Callithrix jacchus: one gene and its partner. The protein of the gene in region 2 purifies or fractionates together with the protein of the main gene of each other region. This does not show direct contact. Links are inferred from orthologs where the notes say so. Each region holds a gene or a part of one and is shown on either strand. Other genes may lie near its edges.

Region 1 (15,687 bases), on a different chromosome or scaffold from region 2:
AGCATTTTAACAGGCCGGTGACAGATGGATCTGAGATCAGTAGCTGTACCACTGTTAGAGCTGCTGTAAGAACACCCTTCTAACTGCACTTTCAAAAAAAAAAATCAAAAGAAATCCAGACTACACGCCAGTTAAACTCCTATCTTGAAAGTGTTTTAACATGGCTCACTCCCTAGCAGTAGAGTACAAAAATAAATCTCAATTTCATAGCAGATGCTACAAAAAAGGGCAGTGAAGAATTTGGACTCTAACCGTAAACCTAGCAGACTCTATCTGTCATTTTGGAGCCCCTCAGTATACAGTTGTGATAGTCGGCTAAGGACATAAAAACGGGGGATGATTTCCAACTAGAGAAAAAGTGGAGAAATAACAGACCTAGAAATCAGCAAAAGTAGCGATCAATCAGTCATGTTTTCAATACATCTTCTGTATTCATGAGTCCCTATGTGTACTACCTGCCCTCTTTCTTCCTTTCCAGGGGTAGTTATTTTAACCGTAAATTACACAAGGCTGCGAAGCACTAAATGATAATACAGGTAGTATTAAGTTTGTAATCATGACCAGGCTTTCCTTGAACAGTACAAGGTCATTGCCTATCAAGGGATGGCACAACATAGCCACTACTGTAAGGATAAACGCCACTTCCTTCTATAAGCCTCGCACTGTAAAATGAGATCAATAGCAATCACACAGTGCAGGTGTGTTCAAGGTAATCACCAGATCAGATATTAAACTGGATAAGATATGAAAAGCAACTTGGTATTCTCACCTGTAAGTGTCATCTGTGGTGTTGCTGCGTACACATGGAGTTATCACCATCTTTAGCTACATCTTTTCAGATCTTATTTGGTTACCTTTAACATTGAACATGCAACTCTATGAGACAGAGTCTTGTTCTGTCACCCAGGCTGGAGTACAGTGGCACGATCTCGGCTCACTGCAACCTCTACCTCCCAGGTTCAAGCAATTCTCCTGCCTCAGCCTCACGAGTAGTCAGGACTAGAGGCACGTGCCACCATGCCCAGGCAATTTTTGTATTTTCAGTAGAGATGGGGTTTCACCATACTGGCCAGGCTGGTCTCGAACTCCTGATCTTGTGATCCACCCACCTCATCCTCCCAAAGTTCTGGGATTACAGGGGTGAGCCACTGTGTCTCGTGCAACTCTTTATTTCAAGTGCTCAGTACACTCTCATTTTAATAAACCAAATGATTGATGTTGCTGCAGTATACTAAAATAAACATTACCTTAAGCATATACTATTTGTTAGATACCATACAGAATGCATGATTCAAGGTACAATCTGTTTTAAACATCTCCCAACTGGAATTTTTTTGGAGACGAAGTCTTACTCTTGTCACCCAGACTGGAGTACAGTGGCACGATCTGTTCACCGCAACCTCCGCCTCCCAGGTTCAAATGATTCTCCTGTCTCAGCCTCCTGAGTAGCTAGGATTACAGGCATATGCCACCACCATGCCCGGCCTGGAATTTGTTTTTTAAACCCTTCCCAGCTCAAACCTGACCAACTGGAATTTTAAACATTATAGGATCCACTCAGAAAAGAAACTAGAAAAAAAAACTACTACTTTTTCTGTATTTTCTAGTTATCTCTGAAGAAACTGTAAAAGTTAATAGTGTCAGCTGAGCACAATGGCTTATGTCTGTGATCCCAGCACTTTGGGATGCCAAGGCAGGTGGATCATTTGAGGTCAGGAATTCAAGACCAGCCTGGCCAACATGGTAAAACCCTGTCTCTACTAAAAAATACAAAAATTAACTGGGCACAGTGGTGTGCACCTGTAATCCCAGCTACTCGGGAGGCTGAGGTAGGAGAATCACTTGAACCCAGGAGGTACAGGTTGCAGTGAGCTAAGATCATGCCCCTGCACTCCAGCCTGGGCAACACTCTATGAAAAGTAATATAAACAGGCTGGGCACGGTGGCTCAAGCCTGTAATCCCAGCACTTTGGGAGGCCGAGGCGGGTGGATCATGAGGTCAACAGATCGAGACCATCCTGGTCAACATGATGAAACCCCGTCTCTACTAAAAATACAAAAAATTAGCTGGGCATGGTGGCGCGTGCCTGTAATCCCAGCTACTCGGGAGGCTGAGGCAGGAGAATTGCCTGAACCCAGGAGGAGGAGGTTGCGGTGAGCCGAGACTGCGCCATTGCACTCCAGCCTGGGTAACAAGAGCGAAACTCCATCTCAAAAAAAAAAAAAGTAAATAAATAAAGTTAAATATAGTATCTATTACAATGGTAGCAACTACAATTTTTGAAGTATTAGATGCTAGGCACAGAGACAGGTGCTTGATGTACATTATGTCTGTAATTATACAAGCCTCACAGGCCTTCTAGTTTTTTTTAAGTGATAAAGACTTCACTGGGTAGATTGCTTCATTTTGTGTAGTATGATTTTAAAAAAGAAATGCCTTTGATTTTTTTTCACTTTATTTTTATTAAGCACTACATAACACACTGCATGCTACATAACATACTGTATAATCTTCTAGCAGGGGTAGATGACCATAACTGAGTTATTTTTTCATCAATCAGGAAAATGCTTCTTTAATCAATGTTCTCCAAACCCTGAAAAACAGTTTAAAAGGAGAATGTGAGAAGTCTGTTCCTAACAAAGACATGTGATATACTTTTATTTCATGTCACCAAATGGCACTGTTACATTTCTTTAACTGCAATAATACATTGGATTAAATTTTATAATCACTAAAGAATAACCTGTAATGATGTCTAGTTTTCATTTTCTGACAGCAGCAAACATATTGCTTTACAGGAAAACAGAAATCTTCCCCTACCCCGAATCAGAACTAAAGTCAAGCAACTCTACCACCTGGATCCTTTTTTTTTTTTTTTTGAGATGGAATCGCTCCCATTGTGCAGGCTGGGGTGCAGTGGCACGATCTCGGCTCACTGCAACCTCCACTTCTCAGGTTCAAGTGATTCTCTTTCCTCAGCCCCTCGAGTAGCTGGGATCACAGGCATGCACCACCACACCCAGCTAATTTTTGTATTTTTAGTAGAGACGGGGTTTTGCCATGTTGGCCAGACTGGTCTTGAACTCCTGACCTCAGGTGATCCACCAGCCTCAGCCTCACAAAGTGCTAGGATTACAGGTGTGAGCCACCGTGCCCAGCCTCCACGTGGATCCTTTTACAAAGCACCTCTGTGAGTCAGAGGACAAGAAGGTAAAATCTGTTTTAAAAAATAACAGCCAACAGATACTATTATCCTCATTCCACTTTTTTACAAATGAGGAGATGGAGGCTCAGAGAGGTTAAAAGTCACCTGCTTAAGTCCATAAGGAATTAGCAGAGCCAGAATTCAAATCCAGGGAACCCTTCTCCGACAAGCACTACACTATACAAAATACCTACTGGATCTTACTAAGTTGTCAACCAAATAATTCAGAAGCTATAAGTTAAATGATTAATCATTGGTGACACTTCTTCTAAGTATTAAATAACATAGTCCAGGTATTTGGTTTACTATTACATGAAGAACTGCCTTAAGAGAAATTAAAACTGCAACTTCCTTGGAGCTGTCTCTTAGTAATCCTAATTCTGTCTCACATGCCAGGTGATTCTGATAGCTATTCTTGAAAATATGGCTCCAGATATGATTATCTATTATCATGTTCATTAGATTAGATTTTCAACTACCCCTCCACTGAGAGGTATATCACCCAGGTTGAGTCCCTATAATATTATTTAATCACTCTGACCCTTGTCTATAAAATGGAAATACTATTTACTTAGGTTTGCTGTGAGGAATAAATAAGCAAGGAGAAAATATTAAAAAGTAAACATTTTTAAAAGAATTATGATAATGAACTACTCCTACAAAATATGAAAATATACTATTAGGGCCAGGCGCAGGGGCTCACACCCATAATCCTAACACTTCGGGAGGCCAAGGCAGGTGGCTCACTTGAGGTCAGGAGTTAAGAGACCAGCTTGGCCAACATGGTGAAACTCCATCTCTACCAAAATATAGAAAAAAAAATTTAGCTGGGCATGGTGGTGTGTGCCTGTAATCCTAGCTACTCAGGAGACTGAGGCAGAAGAATTGTTTGAACCCGGGAGGCAGAGGTTGCAGTGAGCCAAGAGTGTACCACTGCACTCCAGCCTGGGTGACAGAGTGAGACCATGTCTCAAAACAAAACAAAACAAAACAAAACAAAACCCAAAACAAACAAACAAAAAAAACCCAAAAAACGTACTATTAGGTTGAGCCTTATGAAAATGCTACTGCTTGGCCATTTCTGACCTACAAAACTGGCAATGTATATACAATTATAGTAATTATTTAAATGAGGTATTGTTGCAGGAATAGACAGACCTATAGAGTACAGAAAAGCACCTCTGTGAAACAGGCCCATGTGTACATGGAGATTTAGTTTACTAGAATGGTATTACAAATAAAGATGAATTGGGTGTTTCGTGGTAGGTTTTTTGTTGTTTGTTTTTTGAGACAGGCTGTCATTCTCTCACCCAGGCTGGAGTGCAGTGGTGCGATCCCAGGTCACTGCAGCACCAAACCCCTGGGTTCAAGCTGTCCTCCTGTCTCAGCCTTCCGAGTAGCTAGGACTACTAAACCATTCTATAAATGCATAACTGTGATAACTGGCTACCTCTTGTAAAAAAGTAAAGTTAATCCTTCCTTCACATTATATAAATGACCTGTAGGTGGACCAAATAACTAAATGTTTAAAAAAAGAAAAAAGAAACAATATTAGGAGAAAACTTTTAAAGTATTTTTATGAGCCAGGTATAGTGGCACACCTGCAGTCCCAACTCCTCCAAAGGCTGAGGCAAGAAGATCACTTAAGCCTATGAGTTTGAGGCCAGCCTGGGCAACACAGCAAGACTGTCTCTATTTTATTTTTTCAAAGTATTTTTATAATTTTGGATAGAAAAGGCCTTTGTATGGGAGACATAAAAACCCAAAATCCAAGGCCGGGCGCGGTGGCTCACGCCTATAATCCCAGCACTTTGGGAGGCCGAGGCGGGTGGTTCACGAGGTCAAGAGATCGAGACCATCCTGGTCAACAAGGTGAAACCCCGTCTCTACTAAAAATACAAAAATTAGCTGGGCATGGTGGTGTGCGCCTGTAGTCCCAGCTACTCGGGAGGCTGAGGCAGGAGAATTGCTTGAACCCAGAAGGCGGAGGTTGCGGTGAGCTGAGATCCTGCCATTGCACTCCAGTCTGGGTAACAACAGCGAAACTCCATCTCAAAAAAAAAAAACAACAACCCAAAATTCAGAACAAAACATGATCAATTGAATATCAAAATTTAAAACTACCTGATAAAACACATCATACAGTGAAAAAGACAAACAGCAGACTGGGGAAAATGTCAAATATAAAATAGACAAAAAATTAAAGTCTAGAATATATAAAGAACTATAGATCAAAAAGAAAAAGACAAACAATAGAACAGGCAAAGGATATAGGCAACAATCCACAGAGTAAGAAATATATGACAGTAAGAAAGACTAAAAATATATATATATAAAAGATTAAATATGTAAAAAGATGCCAACCTCACTAGTAGATAAGAAAATGTATGACCCTTGGCAAGGTATTACCAGAACCCACCTCAACCCTGGCAGAAGGATGGCATCAGAGTGGCATCTTACCTTTGACTTATAGTAAAGATCAACTCCAGAGATGCGCCTATCTCTTTCCATCAAATTCCATGGATACAAAACATGAGCAATCCTTTTTTCCTTCAAATAAGAGACAATTGTTATTGCAGTTTATAAAAGTGAGTGACCCAATTGATAGGTATTTCGATTTTTAAAGGAGACATTCTAGAAAAATTAATAATACAAGACTACAATCTCCTAAATAAAATCAGACCACTAAACTTTAGAATTAAGTTGGTGACCAAGACTTCTTACGCTATCTTAACCAACATGAATTTTTTTTTTTAAAGAAATGTCTAGTTCTTGCCTTTTGGGACACTAAGAAACTCAGGTGAAGGAGGACAATCACAAAACCAGAAAGTAAATAAATTTATACTCTATACTAGAGACAATGTGAAGGGCTAGAAGAGGGAAAATGAATCCCAATGTAAAAAACTAGATCTTGGCCGGGCACGGTAGCTCCTGCCTGTAATCCCAGCACTTTGGGAGGCCAAGGCAGGCAGATCCCCTGATGTCAGGAGTTCAAGACCAGCCTGACCAACATGGAGAAACCCCATCTCTACAAAAAGATAAAATAATAAAAATAAAATAAGATCTTGCAGTAAATTATTAAAGGCTTGCAACAAAAAGTGGAGAATAAAAAAGTTATGGGTGGCCAGGAGCTCACATCTGTAATCCCAGCACTTTGGGAGGTCATGATGGGTGGATCACCTGAGGTCAGGAGTTCGAGACCAGCCTCGCCAACATGATGAAACCCCGTCTCTACTAAAAATACAAACAAAAATAAAAATTAGCCGGGCGTGGTGGCACCCGCCTGTAGTCCCAGCTACTCGGGAGGCTGAGGCAGGAGAACCTCTGGTTTTTTTTTTTCGAAACGAGTTTCGTGACTGTTGCCCAGGCTGGAGTGCAATGGTGCGATCTCGGCTCACCTCCACCTCCACCTCCCGGGTTCAAGCAATTCTCCTGCCTCAGCCTCCCAAATAACTAGGATTACAGGCATGCGCCACCACACCCGGCTGATTTTGTATTTTTAGTAGAGACGGGGTTTCACCATGTTGGTCAGGCTGGTCTTGATCTCCCGACTTCAGGTAATCCGCCCGCCTCGGCCTCGCAAAGTGCTGGATTACAGACTTAAGCCACCTCTTCTAATCTACCTTTCCGGGCCCCGAGTCGCTACTCTGCCCTAAGGCCCACTCTGATCCACCCTAAAACGCTGGTTTTCACTAGAGCAGGATGTGTTTTCTACCAACCTTCGTTTCGCAAGCCTCAGCTTCTAGGCAACCCTAAGAAAGGAGAAGGCCGACCTCGGAGAGAGGGTCCGCAAGCTGATGCCTCCCTGCCCCCCACCCTTTTCGGAAATCAGCCCGTGGAGTCGGCCCCCGCGCCCTCAAGCCCCCTTACCTTGCCGCCGTTAGTGAACTTGTGGATGTACGCAGTAGACAGTCCTGGAATAAGCAAGCACACGCCCATGGCGGCGAGTCCGGGGAGTATCTCGAACCACATCTCTGCCCGGTTACCTAGACCAAAACCCTACTTCTGAGTCCTTGAAAGGTGACGGATCTCCGGCTCTCTTCCCAGTAAGCCCCGCGGCCGCCAGCGAGCGGGGCGGTGCCACGTACGGCTCCGGAGGAAGCGACGGAATCCTCCAGGGCTCAAGAGAGGCTAGCGTTCGCGTTCTCGCAGTCTTCTTCCGCCACAGTCTTTTGCTTTGACTAGCGGCGGAGCGCGCAACGTGGAGTGACGCGCGGAGGCCAAGTGCTACCCAGGCAGCCACGGCCGTTTCGGAGCTCGGGACTCTAAAATGGCCGAGCAGCTTTCTCCAGGAAAAACGGCGGATCAGGTGTGCACCTTCCTTTTCAAAAAGCCTGGGCGGAAAGGGGCTGCTGGACGCAGAAAGCGCCCGGCCTGCGACCCAGAGCCTGGAGAAAGCAGCAGCAGTAGCGACGAAGGCTGCACTGTGATTCGACCGGAAAAGAAGCGGACGACCCACAATCCAATGATACAGAAGACCCGTGACAGTGGTAGACAGAAGGCGGCTTACGGCAACTTGAGCAGCGAGGAGGAGGTGGAAAATGAGCCCGAGAGTCTCGGCGTGGTTTATAAATCCACCCGCTCGGCGAAACCCGTGGGACCAGAGGATATGGGGGCAACAGCCGTCTATGAGCTGGACACAGAGAAAGAGCGCGATGCACAAGCCATCTTTGAGCGCAGCCAGAAGATCCAGGAGGAGCTGAGGGGCAAGGAGGATGACAAGATCTATCGGGGAATCAACAATTATCAGAAATACATGAAGCCCAAGGATACGTCTATGGGCAATGCCTCTTCCGGGATGGTGAGGAAGGGCCCCATCCGAGCGCCCGAGCATCTACGTGCCACCGTGCGCTGGGATTACCAGCCCGACATCTGTAAGGACTACAAAGAGACTGGCTTCTGCGGCTTCGGAGACAGCTGCAAATTCCTCCATGACCGTTCAGATTACAAGCATGGGTGGCAGATCGAACGTGAGCTTGATGAGGGTCGCTATGGTGTCTATGAGGATGAAAACTATGAAGTGGGAAGCGATGATGAGGAAATACCATTCAAATGTTTCATCTGTCGCCAGAGCTTCCAAAACCCAGTTGTCACCAAGTGCAGGCATTATTTCTGCGAGAGATGTGCACTGCAGCATTTCCGTACCACCCCGCGCTGCTTTGTCTGTGACCAGCAGACCTACGGCGTCTTCAATCCAGCGAAAGAATTGATTGCTAAACTAGAGAAGCATCGTGCTACAGGAGAGGGTGGTGCTTCCAACTTCCCAGAAGACCCCGATGAGGATCCAATTCCCATTACTTAGGCTTCCCATAATTCTTAAATTTAAAAAATAAATATTTTGTTCTTTTGGAAGTCTTAATTCGTGTCCTTTTAGAGAAAGTGACAGAAGGCGGGTGGTGAAGTAGGGTCCTGGATTAAAAGCTTCAAGGTAGGTATAATCGGGATTTTTAGCCCTAGAACACTTTGGCATAAATTATAGAGATGGGAGTAGTTTGAGAAAAGAGCTAGAATTTGCTCGAAGTAGCCAAAGCTATGATGAAAGCAAGAACTCTGAGCCTGTTTATTATATCACATTTCTGTATCACGTAATGTTTACCAGGTACTTTCATGCATTCTTTCTCTTAGGAGCCTGTACTACAAAATATATCAGAGCCAAGGTGTGAGGGAGAGGGGTTGGGTTTGGGCGATTGGTAGCTAGTACCACAGACTTCACGTATGGAAAATGTTCCTTGCTGTCTTGGAAGCAGCAATAGTTAACCCCCCTTCTATGGATGATAAAAGTGATCTGTGCTCTGCTATCCAGTGTGATAGACAGACACTAGCCTCATGTGGCTGTTGACCACTTGAAATGTAGCTAATGACCATATCGGACATAGCTGTTGTAGACTGAACTCGTGAACCTGCAGGGGGACAAAAACATAATATTTTATCATCACCTGAAACTATCTGTGTTCTCACAGACTCTATAATAGCACTGATCATGCCTTATTAAAATTAGTCAGTGTACCTGTCTTTCCAACTGGTTTATGAACTCAGTGACTAGCCTAGTGCTTGGCATATGATAAGCACTTAATAAATAAGCCTAGGGAGGTTTACAAAGAGAGATTGGGGGCAGGGTGCGGTGGCTCATGCCTGTAATCCCAGCACTTTGGGAGGCTGAGGTGGGCAGATCACGAGATCAGGAGTCCTAGACCAGCCTGACCGATAAGGTAAAACCTCATCTCTACTGAAAATACAAAACTTAGCCGGGCATGTTGGCACTTGCCCGGCTAGTGCCACCATGGTGTCATGGTGGCCTGTAGTCCCAGATACACGGGAGGCTGAGGCAGGAGAATCGCTTGAACCTGGGAGGTTGCAGTCAGCTGAGATTGTGCCACTGCACTCCAGCCTGGGCAGCGGCAGAGTGAGACTCCGTCTCAAAAAAAAAAAAGAGAGAGAGAGATTGGAGCCAAAGCCTTGAATTTAAGTTGAGGAACATTGACTATATTCTGTAGGCAGTGGGAGAGATAGAGATTTGGGAAGAGAACACAATCAGACTTGGGTTTTTCTTGTTTGTTTGTTTGTTTTTATAGTGTTACTGTCTTGGGCTATAGGTTGGATCATAGGGAGATGGAAGACAAGAGGCAGGGAGGCCAGTTAGGCCAAATGATTTTTTTTTTCAGTCTCCGTAGAGACTGTCAAAAATTGCCAACGCTGACTATATTTCAAATCATCATGGTGGGGTATTGGGAAAAGTTTTCAATTAGCAATAATCGCGCCTCGGATAAACCTCATTGGCTACGATACTACCACTGCGCAAAGCTAGGCCAAATGATTTTTATTGATATGATTCGAATTTGGGCTAATCCTAAAAACAGATGCAAGAATAAATTCTGGGTTAATAGTTTTTATTCACCTTCATTAATCCATTTAAAAGTTTTTTTTTTTTTTGAGACTGAGACTTGCTCTGTCGCCCAGGCTAAAGTGCATTGACGGGATCTTGGCTTACTGCAACCTCTGCCTTCCGGGTTAAAGTGATTCTCCTGCCTCAGCCTCCCAAGTGGCTTGGACTACAGGTGTGCACCACCATGCTTGGCTAATTTTTGTATTTTTAGTAGAGATGGGGTTTCACCATATTGGTCAGGCTGGTCTTGAACTCCTGAATTCGTGATCTGCCCTCCTCGGCCTCCCAAAGTGCTGGCATTACATGTGTGAGCCATCACACCCAGCCTAAAGATATTCTTTGAGTAGCTACTCTTTATCAGGCACTGTGCTTGGTATGGGGGATGTTAGCAGTGAACAAGACACACAGCCCATACCCTCATGGAGCTGGACATTAAATAATGACTGTTTGTTTCTGAGACAGAGTCTCACTGTATCACCCAGGCTGGAGTGCAGTGGTGTGATCTCAGCTCACTGTAACCTCTGCCTCCCAAGCTGGTCTCGAACTCCTGACCTCATGTGATCTGTCTGCCTTGGCCTCCCAAAGTGCTGGGATTACAGGTGTGAGCCACCGTGACCTGCCTGTTTTGTTTTGTTTTTTTAATTACAAATAGGGTCTCCCTATGTCGCCCAAGCCAGTCTCAAACTCCTGGCTTCAAGCAGTCCTCCCACCTCAGCTTCCTAACTCACTAGGATTACAGGCATGAGCCACATACCTGGCCTAGGAAAGCATTTTGAAAAGTGTCATGTCCTACACAAAGCTTCAGACGAAAAAGAAAGAAATGAAAAGTGTCCTGGAGGTGAGTCACAGTGGCTCACGCCTGTAATCCCAGCATATTTGGAGGCCGAGATGGGAGGATCACTTGAGGCCAGCCAGGAGTTGGAGACCAGCCTGGACAACAGGGAAACCTCCGTCTCTACAAAAAAAAAAAAAAAAAAAAAAAAACAAGCAAAAAAGCTGGGTGTGGTGATGTGCACCTGTAGTCCCAGCTACTCAGGAAGCTGAGGTGAAGGATCCCTTGAGCCCAGAAGATTAAGGCTGCAGTGAGCTGTGACTGTACTACTATACTCCAACCTGGGTGACAGACCCTGTCTCAAAAACAAAACAAAAAAGAAATATGGCAATGAGTAGCAAAAGAACCAGAAAAATTGTTCATTTTTTTTTAACCATTTCTGAGAATTTATACTAAAAAAGTTATTCAGGTTTGGGCACAGTGTCTCATGCCTGTAATCCCAGGACTTCAGGAGGCCAAGATTAGAAGATCACTTGAGCTCAGGAGTTCGAGACCAGCCTGGGCAACATAGCGAGACTCCCATCTCTAAAAAATAAAAATAAAAAAAGTTATTCAAAAGTAGAATCTGAGTCACAGCACCAAAAAAAAAAAAAAAAAAAATTTTTTTTAGGTAGAATAAAGCTTTATGGAAAAAGATATGCTTTGAGTTATAATCTCTTACATAAGCTGAGAGAAAAGGTCCAGGAGAAAACACAGATGATAAAAGGTGAAAGAATGCTGCTGATGACTAAATTCTAGGAGGTAGAACAGAAAAGTGACAGAATTAAGAGCATAAATCAGTCTTGAAGAGTTGAGAGGGCAAGAGAAAGATGGCATTTGTGTACTATTCCACATGACATTTTTGAATAATACTTGTCTGTGAATCTTTTTTTTTTTTTTTTTGGTTTTGAGACAGGGTCTCACTTTGTCACCCAGGCTCAAGTGCAGTGGTGAGATTTTGGCTCACTGCAACCTCTGCCTCCCAGGTTCAAACCATCCTCCTGCCTCAGCCTCCCGAGTAGTTGGAATTACTACCAGGCATGCACCACCATGCTCAGCTAATTTTTTGTATTTTTAGTAGGGACAGGGTTTCATTAAATGGGCCAGGCTGGTCTGGAAATCCTGGCCTCAAGTGATCTGTGTGCCTTGGCCTCTCAAAGTGCTGGGATTACAGACATGAGTCACTGCACCCTGCCTTGTCTGTAAATTTTGAAAAAGTATACAAAGTACTTGCAAATGAGCATTATTCTGGGGTCCAAAGCATTCAGCAGATTCTTAAAAGGGACCATAACTCCATAAAAGCACCTAAATCAATAGTGAACTCAAAGTACTTTCATGTTTACAAGCTTATGATTACATTTTCTATATGTGAGGAATATTTTCATAACCTTTAATTAAATGGTGCAACTTCATTTCATAGGTGGGAACCAAATAGTTATTCTTACAATTTAAAAGAAACTAAATAGGTGGAGGGAAGCAAGCACTCCAGCAGAGACAAGGTTGCAGCTGGACTGTAAAGGAGCTCACCTAGTTTGAGAAGTCAGGGCTCTTACGTCTCCCCTAGGAAATGAGCCTCAAACTGAGACTCAAGAAGTGAGTTGGAGAAAGAGTATCTCAAGTAGAGGAACAAATATATACTAAGGCCCCAATGTGAGAGACTACCTCCAACTAAAAACTCAAAGCAGTTTAAGGTGGCTGGGGAAAAGAGACAAGGTAGTTAAGGCCAAAGAGCAGAGAACTTGCAAGTCAAGTTAAAGACTTTGGACTTCATCTGAAGAGCAAAAATGCGCCATCAAAGCGTTTTAACGGCCGGGCGTGGTGGCTCACACCTGTAATCCCAACACTTTCGGAGGCCGAGGTGGGCAGATCACCTGAGGTCAGGAGTTCAAGACCTGCCTGGCCAACATGGTGAAACCCCGTCTCTAGTAAAAATACAAAAAATTAGGTGGGTGTGGTGGTGGGCGCCTTTAATCCCAGGTACTCGGGAGGCTGAGGCAGGAAAATCCCTTGAACCTGAGAGGTGTAGGTTGCAGTGAGCTGAGATTGCACCACTGCATTCCAGCCTGGGACACAGAGCAAAATTCTGTCTCACACACACACACACAAAAAGTTGAGGGGGAGTTAAGAAGGAAAATGAGATGATCAGATTTGAATTTCAAAAGATAATTCTGAAGAGTGGGGAATGGGTTGAAGGCAGCCAGACATGAAACAGGGAGGTCAGTTATGGGGGTGGTGCACTGGTCCAGGTAAGATGATGGTACACTAGACTAGACTGGTGGTTGTGAACAAACTTGTCTTGATCACCCACTACATGACAGGCAGTAAACACTGGAGATACAGCCATGACAAAAGCACACAAGTCCCTGCTCTCATACGTACATGAAGTAAACACAGTAGCTCACACTTATAATCCTAGCACTTTAGGAGGCCGAGGCAGGAGGATCACTTGAGGCCAGGAGTTGGAGACCAGCCTGGACAACAAAGTGAGACCCCATCTCCATAAAAAATAAAAAACTTAGCAAGGGAGGGTGGCATGTGCCTGTAGTCCCAGCTACTCAGGAGGTTTAGGCAGGAGGATCCCTTCAGCCTGGGAGTTTGAGGTTGTAGTGAGATGTGATCTGCACTCCAGCCTGGGTGACAGAGTGAGAACTCATCTCAAAAAAAAAAAAAAAAAAAAAGAATTTGCATGAGAGATAGTGACAGGTTTATATATATGTATACCAGATTGCCATGAGTGCTGGGAACAGTGATAAAGCAAGGTAAAGGCCTAAGAGTGCAGGGATCTAGGGAATTGCTATTTTATATACGGTAGTCAAGGAGGGCTTCTTCTGATAAGGTGACATTTGGGCAGAGACCTACATGAAACAGATATTGGGTGGAGGAGCATTCCAGACAGAGAACACCCGGTACAAAGGCCTGAGACAGGAAAGTGCATAAAACACAGCTTTGTAAGAGAACCAGTAATTACAGAAGAACACTTGCATAACCACACTGCAGGTCAAGAAGTACAAAACTGAAAACACTGAAGAAGACCCTTATGGATCCCCTCCAGATCACACCCTCAGGATCACACCCTCAGGTAATCACTTTTTTTTTTTGAGATGAAGTCTCACTCTGTCACCCAGGCTGGAGTGCAGTGACGCGATCTCAGCTCACTGCAGCCTCCGCCTCCTGGGTTTATGCAATCCTCCCACCTCAGCCCCCTGAGTAGCTGGAACTACAGGCGTTGGCCATCACACTGGGGTGATTTTTTTTCCTTTGGTAGAGATGGGGGTCTCCCTATGTTGCCTAGGCTGCTCTGGAACTCCTGGGCTCAAGCAATCCTCGTGTCTCAGCCTCTCAAATTGCTGGGATTACAGATGTGAACTACCACGCCTGGCTGTTGAACCTTTCTTTAAAGCAAACAGTTTAGTGGTATTTAATACATTCGCAATATTGTGCAACTACCACCTCTATATAGTTTCAAAACGTTGTTTTCATCACCCCAGAAGAAAACCCCACACCCGTTAAGCAAATGCTCCTCATTCCCTCCTCCCCTCTGCCAACCCCCCAATCCCTGGTAACCACCAATGTGCATTATCTGTGGATTTAACTGTGTTAGATATTTATTTCTTTTTTTTTTCCCCTGAGACAGAGTCTTGCTCTGTCACCCAGGGTGGGGTGTAATGGCCCGATCTCAGCTCACTGCAACCTCAGCCTCCCGTGTTCAAGCAATTCTCCTGCCTCAGCCTCCTAAGTAGCTAGGATTACAGGCGTGCACCACCACACCCAGCTAATTATTTAAAAAAAAATTTTTTTTTGAGACAAGAGTTTCGCTCTTGTTACCCAGGCTGGAGTGCAATGCCGCGATCTCGGCTCACCACAACCTCCGCCTCCTGGGTTCAGGCAATTCTCCTGCCTCAGCCTCCTGAGCAGCTGTAATTTTTAAATTTTTAGTAGAGATGGGGTTTCACCATGTTGGCCAGGCTGGTCTTGAACACCTGATCTCATGATCCTCCTGTCTCGGCCTCTCAAAGTGCTGGGATTACAGGCGTAAGCCACTGCGCCCGGCCTATGTTAGATTTTTCATATAAATAGAATTGCAATATGCAACCTTTCATGTCTGGCTTCTTTCATTTAGCATAGTTTTTAAGGTTCATCCACATCATAGTATAAATCAGTACTTCCTTTCTATGGCTAAACAAATGTTCCGATGTATGCATATAATACAATTTGCTTATTATGCAATCATCTGTTGATGGATATTTGTGTATTTACCTTTTAGCTCTGACTATGGGTACACATGTATTTGTTTAAGTGTCTGTTTTCAGTTCCTTTGGGTATATACTTAGGAGTGGAGTTGTTGGGTCATATGGCAAGTCTATGTTTAACTTTTTTTTTTTGAGATGGAGTCTCACTCTGTCACCCAGGCTGGAGTGCAGTGGTGTGATATCAGCGCACTGCAACCTCCACTTCCTGAGTTCAAGCAATTCTCCTGCCTCAGCCTCCCAAGAAGCTGGGACTACAGGCATACGCCACCACACCCAGCTATTTTTTGTATTTTTAGTAGAGATGGGGTTTCACCATGTTGGCCAGGATGGTCTCGATCTACTGACCTTGTGATCCGCCCACCTCAGCCTCTCAAAGTGCTGGGATTACAGGCATAAATCACTGCACCCAGCCTGTTTAACTTATATATATATATATCTGTATATACATATATATATAGAGAGAGACAGGATCTCGCTCTGTCGCTCAGGTTAGAGTGCAGTGGCCAGATCATAGTTCACTGAAGCCTCAAACTCTTG
Region 2 (16,257 bases):
GTCCTGGGCCACATGCAACCCACTGGCCGCTGGTTGAACAAGCTTGATTTAAAAGAATTAAATACATACAAATATATCTAACCAAGGCAAAAGACCTATACACTGAAAACTACAAAACACTGCTGAAAGAAATTAAAGATCTAAATAAATGGAAAGACGTCCTGTGGTAATGCGTAAGATTTAACGTTGTCAAGACCCCAGTACTACCCAAAGCAATCTATTTATTCAGCACAATCCTGAATCAAAAGTCCAACAGCCTTTTCTAAAGAAATGAAAAAACCTGAAATTCACAAGAATTACAAGAGGCCCCCAAAATAATCTTGGAAAAAAAAAACAAAGGAGGACTCACACTTCCTGACTTTGAAATTTATAAAACTATTTTATAAAACTATAAATTGCCCAGCAATTACAATAGTATGTTATGGCATAAAGACAAAAACACAGACCAATGAAGCATTCTGTTTAGAGTACAGAATCCAGGAAAAAAAACCATATAAATGGTCCACTAATTTTCAACAAGTCTACTAAGACCATTCAATGGGGGAAAAGGACAGTCTTTTTCTAACAAATGTGCTGGCAAAACTGGATATCCACATACAAAATAAAGTTGGATTCTTACCTTATATCACATATAAAAATCAACTGAAAATGGATCAAAGGCCTAAACTTGAGAATTGAAACTATAAAAACTAATAGTTTATTTTTTAATTTATTTTTTAACTTTAGAGATGAGACTTTGCAATGTTGCCCAGGCTGGAGTGCAGTGGCTATTAGAGGTGCAATCACAGCACACAGCACACTACAGCCCTGAACTCCTGGGCTTAAGCAATCCTCCTCCCTCAGCCTCCTGAATAGCTAGGACTACTGGTGTTTGCTACCATGCCCAGCCCAAATTGTTTTTCTTTTTCCCGGTATAACCATACCAAGTATTTCTTAATATTGCAAAGATACTCCTATTACTCTAATGCAGGAAAAATGCACAAAAGGTGAGATGCATATGAAACTTCAGAAATCATTTCATTTCACTTCCTAGAAAGCAACAATATTCCTACATTGCCATATTTCTAGATGCAAGGCTTATGGACAAATAAGTAATTATTAAAAGCAGGTAATATTAGCAACTATATTAGAAATTAAAATCACTTAATGATTCAGTCATGACCATTGAATGACCCTCCCCTGACCCCCCAGCCAACTAGTGGCCTGACAGATTAAGGAGAAATGATTTTTTTTCTGGTTGTTAATATTACTTTATTGTCTACTATTCCTTTACATACAATGTCTGTCATTCAATCAAAAAATAAAAAAGAAACATGCAAAGAAGCAAGAAAATGTGGAACTCATTGTTATGAGGAAGCCTTCAAGAGAACAGTCACACGAACAGAATATATGAATCTTTAGGTAGGGATTTTAAAATAACTACAAAAAGTACGTTAAATCACCTAGTGCAAAAGGTAGATCACGTATACAAAGTGATAAAGAATTTCAGTATGGAGAGAGTATATGCATATGGATGTGGATGTGTATGAAAGTGCTAGAAATTTTTAAAAATAAGAAATCAGTATGAGAGATAAATAACTTCTTTTTTTGAGATGGAGTTTTGCTCTTATTGCCCAGGCTAGAGTGCAATGATACAATCTCAGCTTACTGTAACCTCTGCCTCCTGGGTTCAAGCAATTCTCCTGCCTCAGCCTCCCAAGTAGCTGAGATTACAGGCACCCACCACCATGCCCAGCTAATTTTTTGTATTTTTGGTAGAGATGGGGTTTCACCATCTTGGCTAGGCTAGTCTCAAACTCCTGGCCTCAAGTGATCCACCCACCTAAGCCTCCCAAAGTGCTGGGATTACAGGTGTGAGCCGCCATGTCAGATCAAGAATTCTTTCAAAGGACTTATCAGCAGATTAGCATAATAAAGAATCAGTGAAGTTAAAGTTGGATTAATAGAAATTATCCAAACTATACTATAAAGGGCTGGGAGAAGGAGTGTGTGGAAAGAGTCATGTGAAACCTAAGAGATGATATGAAAAGGTTTAATACTTAATATACATGTAACTGGAGTACCAGAAGAGAAAGAGAGAAAATGATACAGAAATAATGTTAACTATATGACGGTTGACAGTTTGCTTGATCTAGACACCTCTCCTTGCTGGCTTGATGAAGTGGTCCTTTTGGGAAAGACAAGGAACTGTGGGTTGCCTCTAGGAGATGAGGCAGCTTTCCAGCTGGCAGCCAGAAAGCAGCTAAGACCCTCAGTCCTACAGCCACAATGAAAAGAATTCTGCCTCAGTAATTCAACTGCAATTAAACAAAATGAAACATGAGTAACAGATTCTTCCCCAGTCAAGCCTCCAGGTGAAAACACAACCCAGCAGACACCTAGAATGCTGCCTTGTAAGCTCCTACACAGAAGAATCAGTTAGGCCATGCCCAGACTTCTGACCCTTAGAAACAGTGAAATCAATGTGTTATGCAGCAATCCCACTTTTAATACATCCTTGACCATTTGAGATGTGACTGAATATCACTATGGGTCAGTTAAGGGCCAAGGTACTGAAGGTCGAATTTTTGTTGTTGTTGTTGTTGTTGTTTTTAAAGACAGTCTTGCTCTATTGGCCAGGCTGGAGGACAGCTCACTGCAATCTCTGCCTCCCAGGTTCAAGCAATTCTTGCCTCAAACTCCCGAGTAGCTAGGATTACAAATATATACCACCATGTCCCGCTAATTTTTGTATTTTTAGTAGAGACAGGGTCTCGCCATCTTTGCCAGGCTGGTCTCGAACTCTTGACTTCACTGCACCTGACTAGCTCTTCCAAGTTTTGACAATTTTTTAAAAAATAAGAGCTTCGTTTTTCTTTAAAATGATCCATGCCCAAATCCAGAACCATGTTGACAGTGGGTTACAGAGTTTGCACGGCACTGTCCAAGTTGTTACACTGTTTTTAAAAAAATCTTATCTGCATGTATTGTTAAATCAGGTATCATGAGATCTACTTATCAGAACCATGAAGATAAATTCTTCAGAGCTGTTTCTACTGATATTTATTTTCCTCAAAACTTGGCGGACTGTGGGGGAAAGAGTTCTGAAATTTTTTGTCTTCGATATTAGCTCCAATTCTTATAAGTATATACAGGCCCTATAACTGCAGCAGAAAAATGCATGATGGAAAATTTCCATAACCCATGCACTGAGACCTAAAAAATCATCCTTACTGGGTAGAATTTAGTATAATGCAATTAAGTGCCAACTGATATTTCTCACCATGGGAGGTCAGGAACTGCTGCAAAGAAAAATAAACAAATCCTTCTGCATTATTTACATTCTAATGTTTGGTAGGGGAAAATCAGGAGAAATTAGTTCTGAGATTACAATATGGACTTTTTAAAAGATTATCAAATAATTTTTAAATAAAAATTAAAGTTGTACCTCCATTAATATAAAATACATAGGCATGAAGTTATTAATTTTAGCATTATGTATAATTGCTAAATACTGCCAACTACCGAAATAGCCTAATGTAGGATAAAGTTAGTTGAATAAACTGATACATCCAAGTAACAGAGTAATCTGCAGCTGGAAAAAAAATGACTGAAGATGTCTATGAACTGGCAGTATAGCTATTTCCAGGATACAGTAAGTGAAAAAACAAGGTACAGAATAAAGGTATGCTATATTTTTTGTGGATAACCAAAGACGGTAATTAAAAAGAAAAAAAAGAGGCCAGGCACAGTGACTTAAGCCTGTAATCCCAACATTTTGGGAGGTAGAGGCAGGAGGATCACTTGAGGCCAGGAGTTCAAGACCAGCCTGTTGAATATAGAAAAACCCCGGTCTCCACAAAAAATAAAACATTAGCTGGGAGGCTGAGGTGGGAGGAATATTTGAGCCCAGGAGTTCAAGGCTACAATGAGCTATGATAATACCACTGCACTACAGCTTGGATGACAGACAAACACTTTGTGTTCCCCCTCAACAAAAGAGAGAGAGAGAAAGAGAAAAAACCACATCTACTTACTTTAAAAAAACACGAAGAAAAAAAGAATGGATAAACAAGATGCCAGTGATACTGATTATCCACATGGAGTACAGAACAACAGGAGGCAATGAAATACTAGGAGCTGGGGATTGAAGGGAGAGCTAATTTGGGTAAACTGCAAAAAATAAATTCACTATACATCCTTAGTCTAGGGGAAAAAAACAACTATTAGCAAATCCTAAACTCTTTTTAATAGGTTTCTTTTTCACAGAGATATGGATGAAGCAACTGTGAAGCCATTTTGTGTGTATTGTAGATACTGTGCGAATTAATAAATGCACTGATGTTGTTGGAAGTGAGGTAAACAGACATAGAGAAGAGGGAAAACCAAGGAGAACCCTACAGAGTTGGGACTGGAATTAAGAGTTATCGGTATGAACCATGGTAAATTATGAAACTCAAATATAGACGGTAAATTACATAACAGTATCCAGGGTTAAATTTCCTCAATGGTTTCAGACGCACACATACATAATACAGGGGAAAGAAGAAGGAAGGGAAGAAGCATGAGGAAACAATAAAAGCAAATGTGGCAAAGTGTTAAAAATTGGTGAATTCAGGGAAAAAGTATAAGTGAACTCAGGGGATTTCCGTATAATTCATGCAACTATCTGTAATTTTAAAGTTATTTCAAAATAGTTTAAAAAAGAAAGAGAGGCTGGGCATTGTGGCTCACATCTGTAATCCCAGCACTTGGGAGGCTGAGGCGAGCAGATCACTTGAGGCCAGGAGTTTGAAATCAGCCTGGCCAACATGGTCACAGAGTTTGAAATTAGCCAGGCATAGTGGTGGGTGTCTGTAATCGCACCTACTCAGGAGGCTGAGGCACAAGAATCACTTGAGCCTGGGAGGAGGAGGTTGCAGTGAGCCAAGACAGAGCCAGTGCACACCAGCCTGGGCAACAGAGTGAAAAATAAAAATAAATAAATAAATAATAATAAAATTAAATGTCCCAACAAAAAATAAAGAGAGCGAAGAGACATATGTATTGAAATTTCTGAAAGCATATACTCAAATGTAAAGCTGTCAATCTATAAGGAGGTGAAGGAGAGGAGGAAAAGGAGCCTCTCTAAAATATCCTTAAGTAAGACTGAATTCCATCCAGTAACTCTCATTAAATATATATCCCTAAATTAGGGGTACTTAACCTGGGACTAAGGGTAGGTAGATTAAATTCTATCCATCAAGAGGTCTGTGGATAGAATTCACTGAGTCTCTGAAGGGAATGGGGAAAAAATACATTTTAATTTCAGAAACTGATTTTTTTTTTCTTCAATTATGAATGCAGGCAACAAATAGTTTTTGGCAATACCTTTGACTTTATCTCGAAGAGAAATCACACATATTTTCACTTCACATTAGCTGAGGTTCTCAAAATAGTGTATATACCATTCAGCACTTTCATAATACAGTAACTACACTGGCAGCTAAATTGTATTTAAAGTAATATGATTTTTTAAAAACCATGCATCACAAATGTGCTTTTAAAATATTTTTATAACTGTATTCCAAAATCACTGTTTTCTTTGTAATCCTATGCACTTAAAATTGTTATTCTGGGTCGGGTGCAGTGGCTCACACCTGTAATCTCAGCACTTTGGGAGGAAGAGGCGGGCAGATCACTTGAGGTCAGAAATTCCAGACCAGCCAAAAATAAAAAATCAGCCAGGCATGGTGGCACAAGCCTGTAGTCCCAGCTATTTGTGAGTCTGAGGCATGAGAATCGTCTGAACCCAGGAGGCGGAGGTTGCAGCGAGCCATGAGCACACTACTGCACTCCAGCCTGGGCAACAGAGTGAGACTGTCTCAAAACAAACAAACAAAGAATTATTCTAAAAAGCAGACCACGGGCTTCAAACTGACCAATAGTTCCAAGGCACAAAAGTTAGAAATCTCTGCTTGCTCAGAGGTACAGATCCCTCACTTGTTTACAATTATGTCATAATGAGGAGAATTAAGTTTACAGTTTTTTGCTTTGCCATAAAGCAAATTATAAAAAGACACACATTATTGATAATTTTCAATCTAATCTTATTATTTAATTTCTAAATAATTTCCCCTAACCCCAGCACCAAAGTTATTCAAAATATCTGCAACCTCACAAAGAGCATCCAATAAAAAATATAACACAGATGTAAAAGATACAGGCACACAGCAACTATAACAACGAAGCAAGACTGTGAAACATCTTATCAAGAAACTCAAGTGTTTGTACATCTTTAAAAACTTGGTTAAAAACAAAGTATTTACCATCTCTCTTTTGGAAAATTTTTTAAAATTTCTTTAATGATTGGCTGGTAACAGGCATCCCTTTCTGTTTTCCCAGTTTCACTCCAGTCTCTCACAAACTGTTTCAATGTGGATTTTAACTTATCCATGTCAAATGTAGATGCTGGCATAATCTTTCCATTCCCCTGTTTAAAAAACAGACATCAATTAGCTTCTGAGAGAGTAATCTATTTTTGTTATGGTTAAATAGACATGCTACTAAGGGGCTATATAGGTGGTTTAGTGGATAACTCACTAGCCTCTCACCTCAACCGGGGTTCAAGTGCAGCTTGAGATCCTAAATGAAAAGAGTTTGGTGGTCTCACTGCTACCCTCATAAGATTAAGGTCCATTAATCATAAAACCACCATATAATTAAGCAGTCTTTACTCAGGAAAGGACCAAACTGAGCTGCTATGGAGACCGAACATCCTCTCTAAGAGAGGGAAGAAAGTCCCTCCAGGTCATTGATGGGGCAGCATGGAGAGGCTCACACTGGAGTGGCCCAACTGTATCCATCCTGTGGATACAAAAAGAGGACTTCAGTTTCCATGTACTGCCAGGCCCTTGAGATTTATAAGTGAAAATAATTTAATACAATAAAAGATGAACAGCAATAGATATAAGACACTGAAAAAATATGAGTTAAGCAAGGGAAATTAATTTCTAGCTAGTAAAGTTGATTATAAAAATTTAAGTTGCTGGCCGGGCATGGTGACTCACACCTGTAATACCAGCACTTTGGGAGGCTGAGGCAGTTGCATCACGAGGTCAGGCGTTCAAGACCAGCCTGGCCAACATAGTGAAACCCTATCTCTACTAAAAATACAAAAACTTAGCTGGGCGTGGTGGCGGACACCTGTAATCCCAGCTATTCGGGAGGCTGAGGCAGGAGAAGCGCCTGAACCTGGGAGGCAGAGGTTGCAGTGAGCCAATATTGTGCCACTGCACTCCAGCCTGGGTGACAGAACAAGACTCCATCTCAAAAAAAAAAAAAAATTTAAGTCACTAGTCCTATATTCCATAACAGAACACTATGTTAAAATGCATTAAAATCCTAACAATTATGTTAGTATTTTACAAAGGAAAACCAAATACAGTCTCTGGCATACTGTTCTATTAAGCCTGATTAAGTAACCAGCAAATCCAGTTTCTGGCATACTATTCTATCAAGCCTGATCAAATAACTGAACATTCAAGTGAAAACTTCTTGAGCAGAGCAAATAGCCTGTGCCAGATTATAAAAATGAAATCCAAATCAAAATACAGAGGTTGACCCTAAAATAAACACAAATAGAACAAACTTTCACATACATCTTCTCCATATTCTTTATTTTCAAACATATGTATGCAATCATTCACAATGGTCAGTAGTATTTCTTGATTATGATCAATGCATTTCCGGATCTTGTCCAAGTGCAGAAGAAACTGAGGAAGTAGTTTCTGTTGGTTAGCTGGAAGTGATCGAAACTGTCTTTCTGTTCGGTTCACTCGCTCATGCATACTGGTGCTAAAACATAAAAGGTGTTTTTTAAATTTGCAAAAGAATTCTCACCAGAGGCCAATCTTACTTTAAGTTTGTCTTTCTGTACAATTATTATGCTGGATACTGTACTATCATTTACAGTGTCTTGGCTTTTTGAAAGTTGTATGTTTTTACTTTATTTCAAATCCTTCTTCAAGCAACCAAAATACATATGGTTTATCACTGGTAAAAGTAAACATATGCAACAATTAGAAGGGGGAAAAGAAGATTAATGTACAATTAATTAATTTTTGTGTTTTAAACTTAAACTTTTCAGCAAAATGCTTTAAATCATTCCTTGTTTTTTTTTTGTTTTTTTTTTTTGAGACAGAGTCTTGCTCTGTTGCCCAGGCTAGAGTGCAATGGCGTGATCTTGGTTCACTGTAACTTCTGCCTCCGAGGCTCAACCGATTCTCTTGCCTCAGCCTCCCAAGCAGCTGGAATTACAGGCAACTACCACCATGCCTGGCTAATTTTTGTATTTTTAGCAGAGATGGGGTTTCACCATGTTGGCCAGGCTGGTCTCGACCTCCTGACCTCACAATCCGCCCACCTTGGCCTCCCAAAGTGCTGGGACTACAGGCGTGAGCCACCGCACCAGGTCAGATTTTTACATCTTTAAGTAGCAAAATAAATACTGCTGTGAAATTATAATACACACAAAATGTATCCTGAAATTAACTAAAAATAACCTACTTGAATTTTTAAAAATATCATAGATCTTATACACTACAAATTACTAAGGAAATAAAACACTGAAATTCTAGTGTTTTATTTAACAATATCCACAATTTGCATTAGAAAAATGACCCCAAAGGCCATTCTGGGGACTGCTTATTCATAAAACAAGAAAACGGAACATTATTTTTACTTATATTTATTATTACTATTATTATTGTTTGAGATGGAGTTTTGCTCTTGTTGCCCAGGTTGGAATGCAGTGGCACAGTCTCAGCTCACTGTACCCTCTGCTTCCCAGGCTGAAGCCATCCTCCCAACTCAGCCTCCCAAGTAGCTGGGACTACAAACATGTGCCACCACAGTCGGCTAATATTTTTGTATTTTTTTATAGAGACCAGTTTCACCATGTTGCCCAGGCTGGTCTCCAATTCCTGGACTCAAGCAATGTGCCTGCCCTGGCCGCCCAAAGTGCTGGGATTGCAGACATGAGCCACTGTGCCTGGCCACAAGAATATAATCTTTTTTTTTTTTTAAGATGGAATCTCACTCTGTCGCCCAGGTCGGAGTGCAGTGGCACGATCCCGGCTCACTCCAATCTCTACCTCCTAGGTTCAAGCGATTCTTCTGCATCAGCCTCCCAAGTAACTGGGACTACAGGTGCTTGCCACCATGCCCAGCTAATTTTTGTATTTATAGTAGAGATGGTGGCAGGGCGACGGGTTGTCATCAAGACCATGTTGGCCAGAATGATTTTGTTCTCTTGACCTCATGATCCACCCACCTCAGCTTCCCAAAGTGCTGGGATTACAGGCCTGAGCCACCACACCCAGCCAAAACATCATTTTTAAAAGTTAAATATACACTAACAGTATATCATTTTTATATCAACAAGATGGCTAAAATTTAAAAGCCTGACTATATCAAATGGTGAAAATATGGTATAATTAGGACATTTATACACTAATGGTAAGTGCATAAATTAGTGCAACCACTTTGGAAAGAACTTAGAGCACTGCCTAGCAAAATTTAGCATGGTACTTGCCTTATGACCTAGCAATTATACTCCTAGAAACTACTGCAAATGGGCCACACGAAACATGAACAATCTTTGTCACAGTACTGTTAGAAATAACAAACAGGCCAGTACAGGGGATCATGCCTGTAATCTCAGCACTTTGGGAAGCCAAGGCAGGCGGATCACTTGAGGCCAGGAGCTCAAAACCAGCCTGGTCAACATAGTGAAACCCTGTGTCTACTAAAAATACAAAAAATTAGTTGGGCATGGTGGCGCGTGCCTGTAATCCCAGCTACTCAGGAGGCTGAGGCAGAATTGCCTGAACCCGGGAGGCGGAGGTTGTGGTGAGCCGAGATTGCGCCATTGCACTCCAGCCTGGGTAACAAGAGCCAAACTCCATCTCAAAAAAAAAAAGAGTGAGGACTGAACATTGATTTTTTTTTTTTTCTCTTCTCCAAGTTCCCAAGAGGCCTAGGGCGTCACGCCTTACAAACTATAAAATCTTGTTAGACAGGTTTTTATTAACCCTATATAATGACTTACTTTCCAACTTGACTCTGGTATAGCATCATATGACACGTTGCAGACTCATAAGGAAATCAAAATGTTTTACCTCAAAATATATGTCTTTGACATTTTGAAATGGCGGCCATGGGGCCAACAGATTTCAATGGTCCCACAAAGCCGTGTTTCTTAGGGGAAATGTGCATCTGTCAAGAATCTCCATTAATGTAACCAGGCCTTCCCTCTCTACGCCTTTCCTGGATCTAGGAAAGATTAACTGATAGCCTGAAAACATTAAAGTCTAAAAAGAGACATTTAGAATCTCTTCCCTCCGAGGGCTGCTACCTGGGAGGCTACATTTACTTAACAAGAACCTTGGCCTCCATAAGCCCCTTATCTACCTCAGGCATTCCTTTCTACTTAAAATAGCTTACCTCTATCAACCAAGTGCCAACTAAAGAATCCCTGAAACCCACCTATGACTTATAACCCCCTTCTTCAAGATGTCCTACCTTTTGGGTGAGATCACTATATACCTTCCATGTAATTCCTTTCTCTCTAAAATGTATAAAACCTAGCTGGGCACGGTGGCTCACGCTTGGAATCCTAGCACTTTGGGAGGCTGAGGTGGGTGGATCACCTGAGGTCAGGAGTTCAAGACCAGCCTGGCCATCATGGTGAAACCGTATCTTTAAAAAAAAAAAAAAAAATGTATAAAATCAAATTGTAACCCAACCACCTGGGGCACACTTTCTCAGGACCATTTGACGCTGTGTAACCACAGGCTGTGGTCACTATCACAGTGACCCAGAATCAACCTCTTAATATATTTTGGCAGAAATTGGTTACTCCCATTACCATCTGGAAAAAACTCAGGAACATATACATTTTTTGGGAAAAAAAACTGGGGAAGAATTCATAAAGTACAATTGCATTTTATAGAAAACAAAATATATTATTTAGGGATTGATTATATGTGGAAAAACGACAAAGAAAGTAAAGATGTAAAAATTCAGGATAATGATTCTGAGGGTGAAAGAGACAGGATGTTTTTAAAAAAACTAGGCGGTCAATTGATGTGTTCACTATATCATTCTCTACATTTTATATGTATGTGTATATGTTTATATGTTCTTTGGTATTAATTCAATATTAAATGAAAATATTTTTCTTTTTCTTTTTTTTTTTGAGACGGAGTTTCGCTGTTGTTACCCAGACTGGAGTGCAATGGCAGGATCTTGGCTCACCGCAACCTCTGCCTTCTGGGTTCAAGCAATTCTCCTGCCTCAGCCTCCCGAGTAGGTGGGACTACAGGCGCGAATCACCATGCCCAGCTAATTTTTGTATTTTTAGTAGAGACGGGGTTTTACCTCGTTGACCAGGATGGTCTTGATCTCTTGACCTCGTGATCCCAAAGTGCTAGGATTATAGGCATGAGCCACCGCGCCCAGTCGAAAATATTTTTCATTTTCAGTTTCATTTTCATTTTCAATACCTTTGTCATCTGCTTTCTTAAATCTTTATTCATACAAACAATTTTCTCATTTTTACCTTATGCCAAATTATTCCAACTGCTGAACAGTAATGAACTTCAGAAGAAGCTCCTGACAAACAAGCAAAAACCTCACTAGTCACGACTTTACAAGCTTGTGTGTGGTGGCCTGGTGGGGGTGGCCCTTAGGGGTATGGTGAAGAGATCAAGTTGACAGAAGTTCCACTGACTTCTCCCTCTGGAGAGAGTATAATAATGAGCTTTGAAGTCAGAAAGATCAGGGATGAAATCCAGGTTATGACACCTATTTGCCATAGGGCATCAGGCAAATTACTTCCTTTTTGCAACTTTATCATATACAGAAGCAAAATAAGAATGAACAACCCTAATGATGATGATCACGGAATCTACCATTTATTGAGATTTAATAAATGGCAAGGACTAAACCAAGTCAGTTGATACTGATTATTCTGAAACATCTCCAGAATGAGGTAGGTAGCATTACGTTCCTCTGCCTATTAGACAGGGTTTCATTGGAAACAACATACTCAAAAGATTTAGCCCAATAGCTGAAAACACAGCAAGCACTCCAGAAAACAGTAGGTATATCTCATTTATATTATTAAAGTGTTCAAAGCAGAAAATTAAAAATACACAGGGAAAGAAAGGCTACTAATTTCTCTTCTAGAGAGAACCACTTCTAGCCTTTTGGCACTGTTTTGTTTAATACAAAGTTGCCGTGGTTCATGCCTGTAATCCCAGCGTTTTGGGAGGCTAAGGTGAGAGGCCTATTTGAGGCCAGGCGTTCAAAACCAGCCTGGGCAATAGAGCAAAACCCTCATCTCTACAAAAAAATTTAAAAAAAAAAAAAACAATTAGCCAGGCATGGTGGTGTATGCCTGTAGCCTCACCTACTCGGGAGGCTTGCTTGAGCCCAGAAGGTCAAGGCTGCAGTGAGTCATGATTGTGTCACTGCACTGCAAGCTACAGCAAGACCCTGTCTCCAAAACAGAGAAGAAAAAAAAAAAAAGACAAAGTCATCTAGCATCTTACTTTAATTCAAGCTGAATATTGACAAATTATAAGTGTATATGTTTGTTGGGGTACAAAGTGGATGTTCATCATTCCATCTTTCGTAACCAATAGTTACTTAGCTATTTCCAAACTACTGGGCATTTAGACACTCACTTGTTTTTATGATGAACTTTTTATGTTCAAAATCTGTCTATATTTTAGAAAAACAATTAGCATAAATTCCTGAAATTAGAATTACCAGGTAAGAAGGGGAATAAGGTTTTTTGTTTGTTTTTTGAGATGAAGTCTCATTGTCACCTAGGCTGGAGTATAATGGCACAATCTCGGCTTACCACAACCTCTGCCTCCCAGCTTCAAGTGATTATCCTGGCTGAGCCTCCCAAGTAACTGGGACTATAGGTGCCTGCCACCATGCCTGGCTAATTTTTATATTTTTAGTAGAGATGGGGTTTCACCATGTTGGCCAGGCTGGTCTCAAACTCCTGACCTGAAGTGATCTGCCATCCTCGGCCTCCCAAAGCATTAGGATTACAGGCATGAGCCCCCACCCCCTGGTGTACTCCCAAGAATAAGTATTTTTCAGGCTCTTGATATAAAATGATGTGCAGAAAGACTCCATCAATTTATATTCCTAACAGCAGAGTATATTCACAACAAGTGAGGCAAATAGCAGAGCTTTAACAGTTCACCATCAACAGATTGAATAGCCTCACAGAACTTTCTTCCTCGTGTTCACTTCTGAGCACTGGGGTTGCCCCACAACTTCTCTCTCACCACACCTCAAAACTCATATCCAAACTGAACTTTGCACATGCCCCACAAAAACCTGCACTCCTTCCTTCATGCACCCAAGTTAGAAAATAAGGAGTCAACCTAAATGCCTCTTCTCTTAGTCCCACAATCAATAAGCCCAGGATACTTTTCAATTCTATTTCCTAACTCCTCCCCTGCCCTCCCGGCTCCACCTCTAATCAGATGAATTCTTCTAAAACACAGTGTCATCTTGGTCATTATTCAGTATCTCTGTATTTCAGCATATGTAAAAAGCAATAAATGTTCAGTTACTTTCCCACAATGCCATTGGTTTTCCATGGAGACTACTTATTACCAAGTAGTATCAAGGTTGCAAGGGTGAGTTGAGATGAGTTATAGATTGGTTAGAAGAGCTGTCAATTCCTGATACAGAAGCTAAGTAACTACGCAGAGCACGATGGGATCCTTAAACCCCTGGTTACTTAATGGTGTGTAAAGCTGCCATAACATCCATCCATCAGTGACTCTTAAAATAGATGGGATCTGGCCTGGCGAAGTGGCTCACGCCTGTAATCCCAGCACTTTGGGAGGCCGAGGCGGGTGGATTGCCTGAGGTCAGGAATTCAAGACCAGCCTGGATGACAAGGTGAAACCCCATCTCTACTAGTGATTACAAACAGCCTAAGGTCCCTTCCACTAAAGGGCAGAGTTGAATAGTTGTAACAAGAGACCACTTGGCCTTCAGAGCCTAAAACATTTACTGCCCGGCCCTTTTAAGAAACTGCCAAATCTGCTTTGAAGGAATATTTGACAAAAATCAGACCTCCTTGGTTCTGAACTAAGTCAGCATCAGGAGGCCACATCCTCTTGCTGATGAGGGAAGAAAGTAAACTTAGTAACCATTTTTCCTCAACAGTATCTCTACCTCCTACTCTCTCTGAGGTCAGCAGTGACTTCAACTCTGATTTAGTCACCTGTCATCAGGGTGAACTAAAGGCCATAGTCACAGGCCCATTCCTCTGCACTTAGTTGAACTACTCTAGGAAATCCAAATTGAAAAAAACATAACTTGTCAGAAATAAAGTCTGTCTTGATTCATTTTAAATCTTTATTAAACACCTAACATTAAATTTGTATTACTAGTATAACTCCTCATTAATCCACAGGAAAATTTTAGGTAATTATTTTGGATTTTAGGTCAGATTCTGCCACAGCTTGATTGTGTAAGCCTTAGGAAGTTGCTTACTGCTTTGTGTATATCCACATCTTCACCTGTAAAAATGAGCTCTAAATCTCAATATTAAAAAATCTCACCTTGTTATTTCTTTTTCTTTTCTTTTTTTTTTTTTTTTGAGACAAGAGTCTTGCTCTGTTGCCCAGGCTGGAGAGCAGTGGCACGATGTCAGCTCACTGCAACCTCAGCCTCCCAAGTAGCTGGGATTACAGGCATGTGCCAGCAAGCCCGGCTAACTTTTGCAGTTTTAGCAGAGACGGGGTTTCACCATATTGGCCAGGCTGGTATGGAACTCCTGACCTCAGGCAATCCGCCCTCCTCAGCCTCGCAAAGTGCTGGGATTACAAGTGTGAGCAACCACGCCCATCCTAAAATAATCTCACCCTGTTATCTCTAAAAGTAAGAAGTTTCTGAAAAGTCTTTCAATTTTTCAACTCTAATATTTTCTATGTACTGAGGTGTTTCACTCATAGTAAGACTGGGTTATAAAATGAATGGGTTATAAGGCCGGGTGCGGTGGCTCACACCTATAATTCCAGCACTTTGGGAGGCTGAGGCGGGTGGATCACAAGGCCAAGAGATCGAGACCATCCTGCTCAACAAGGTGAAACCCCTTCTCTACTAAAAATACAAAAATTAGCAGGGCATGGTGGTGCACACCTGTAGTCCCAGCTACTCAGGAGGCTGAGGCAGGAGAATAGCTTGAACCCAGGAGGCGGAGGTTGCGGTGAGCTGAGATCGTGCCATTGCACTCCAGTCTCGGTAACAACAGCGAAACTCCATCTCAAAAAAACAAAACAAAACAAAAAACTAATGGGTTATAAAACTAACATTTTTGCTATTCAATACAAACGAGCTATACTCATTTTTACCTTAATCAGAATGTCATCTAAGCAAAATCTGTAGGAACCACAAAACTGGAACCCATTAGAAAGATAAAATATTAATGAAAAGACAGTCCTTGCTTTATGACCATTTATCTAAGTCTCCTACATATTAACTAAAAGGCATTTAGCAGTAAAACCGTACCCTGCAAAATCTAGAAATACACTTGACCCTTGAACGATGTTCCGGTTAGGGGCACCAATCCCCTGTGCAGTAGAAAACACACATGTAACTTTGATTCTCCAAAAACTTAACTACTAATAGCCTACTTTACTGACTGAAAGCCTTACCAATAACATAAACAATTGACAGATATTTTGTATGTTAATATATTATGTACTATATTCTTACAATAAAGCTGGAGAAAACAAAGTCGCAAGAAAGAGAAAATACATTTACAGTACTCTACTGCACTGTATTTATCAATACTGTAAGTTCACATTATTGGATTACAAGATGAATCTTCCGTCTGAAATGGGGTTGCGGGGCAACCTTGGCTGCAGAGCAACCTTGGCTGCAGACCTCTATCTACGATACATATCAAACAAATCAACTTTTTCTGTCTTGACTTTTCTCTTCTTCTTGGGAGCACTTGCAGCATCACCAGTAGCACTTCATATAGGACCCATGGTGTTATTTAAGGTTTATGGTATTGCATTAAATTTGATGAAATCTGCTTACTGCAGTATGCAATTTACCTGACAGACAAAAGCAGAGTGATTATGTTAAGCAGATATTGGCAACATTTGAGCTCACTGCAATAGCAACAGGAGGTGGCTACAAAATTATTACAGTAGTACAGTATCCACTACATAATTTTACACAACT

The links.
Region 1: the proteins of CARNMT1 (region 2) and RNF113A purify together in Homo sapiens (affinity purification with mass spectrometry; 3 studies listed by BioGRID and IntAct, counting the BioPlex papers as one, with this or other methods). This does not show direct contact. The link is inferred for Callithrix jacchus from reciprocal best matches to the Homo sapiens genes CARNMT1 and RNF113A.

What each region holds. Positions count from the first base shown.
Region 1 is NC_133524.1:115,845,112-115,860,798, reverse strand, and holds RNF113A (E3 ubiquitin-protein ligase RNF113A), read left to right. Parts: upstream 1-7,375; 5' UTR 7,376-7,476; coding exon 7,477-8,508; 3' UTR 8,509-8,558; downstream 8,559-15,687. Other genes in the region: NDUFA1 (NADH dehydrogenase [ubiquinone] 1 alpha subcomplex subunit 1), read right to left, coding at 2,574-2,594, 5,667-5,756, 7,077-7,178. UniProt on the Homo sapiens protein: Required for pre-mRNA splicing as component of the spliceosome. As a component of the minor spliceosome, involved in the splicing of U12-type introns in pre-mRNAs. E3 ubiquitin-protein ligase that catalyzes the transfer of ubiquitin onto target proteins.
Region 2 is NC_133502.1:89,836,892-89,853,148, reverse strand, and holds part of CARNMT1 (carnosine N-methyltransferase), read right to left. Parts: exon of another isoform or gene 15,205-16,257; intron 7,816-15,204; coding exon 7,620-7,815; intron 6,452-7,619; coding exon 6,288-6,451; intron 1-6,287.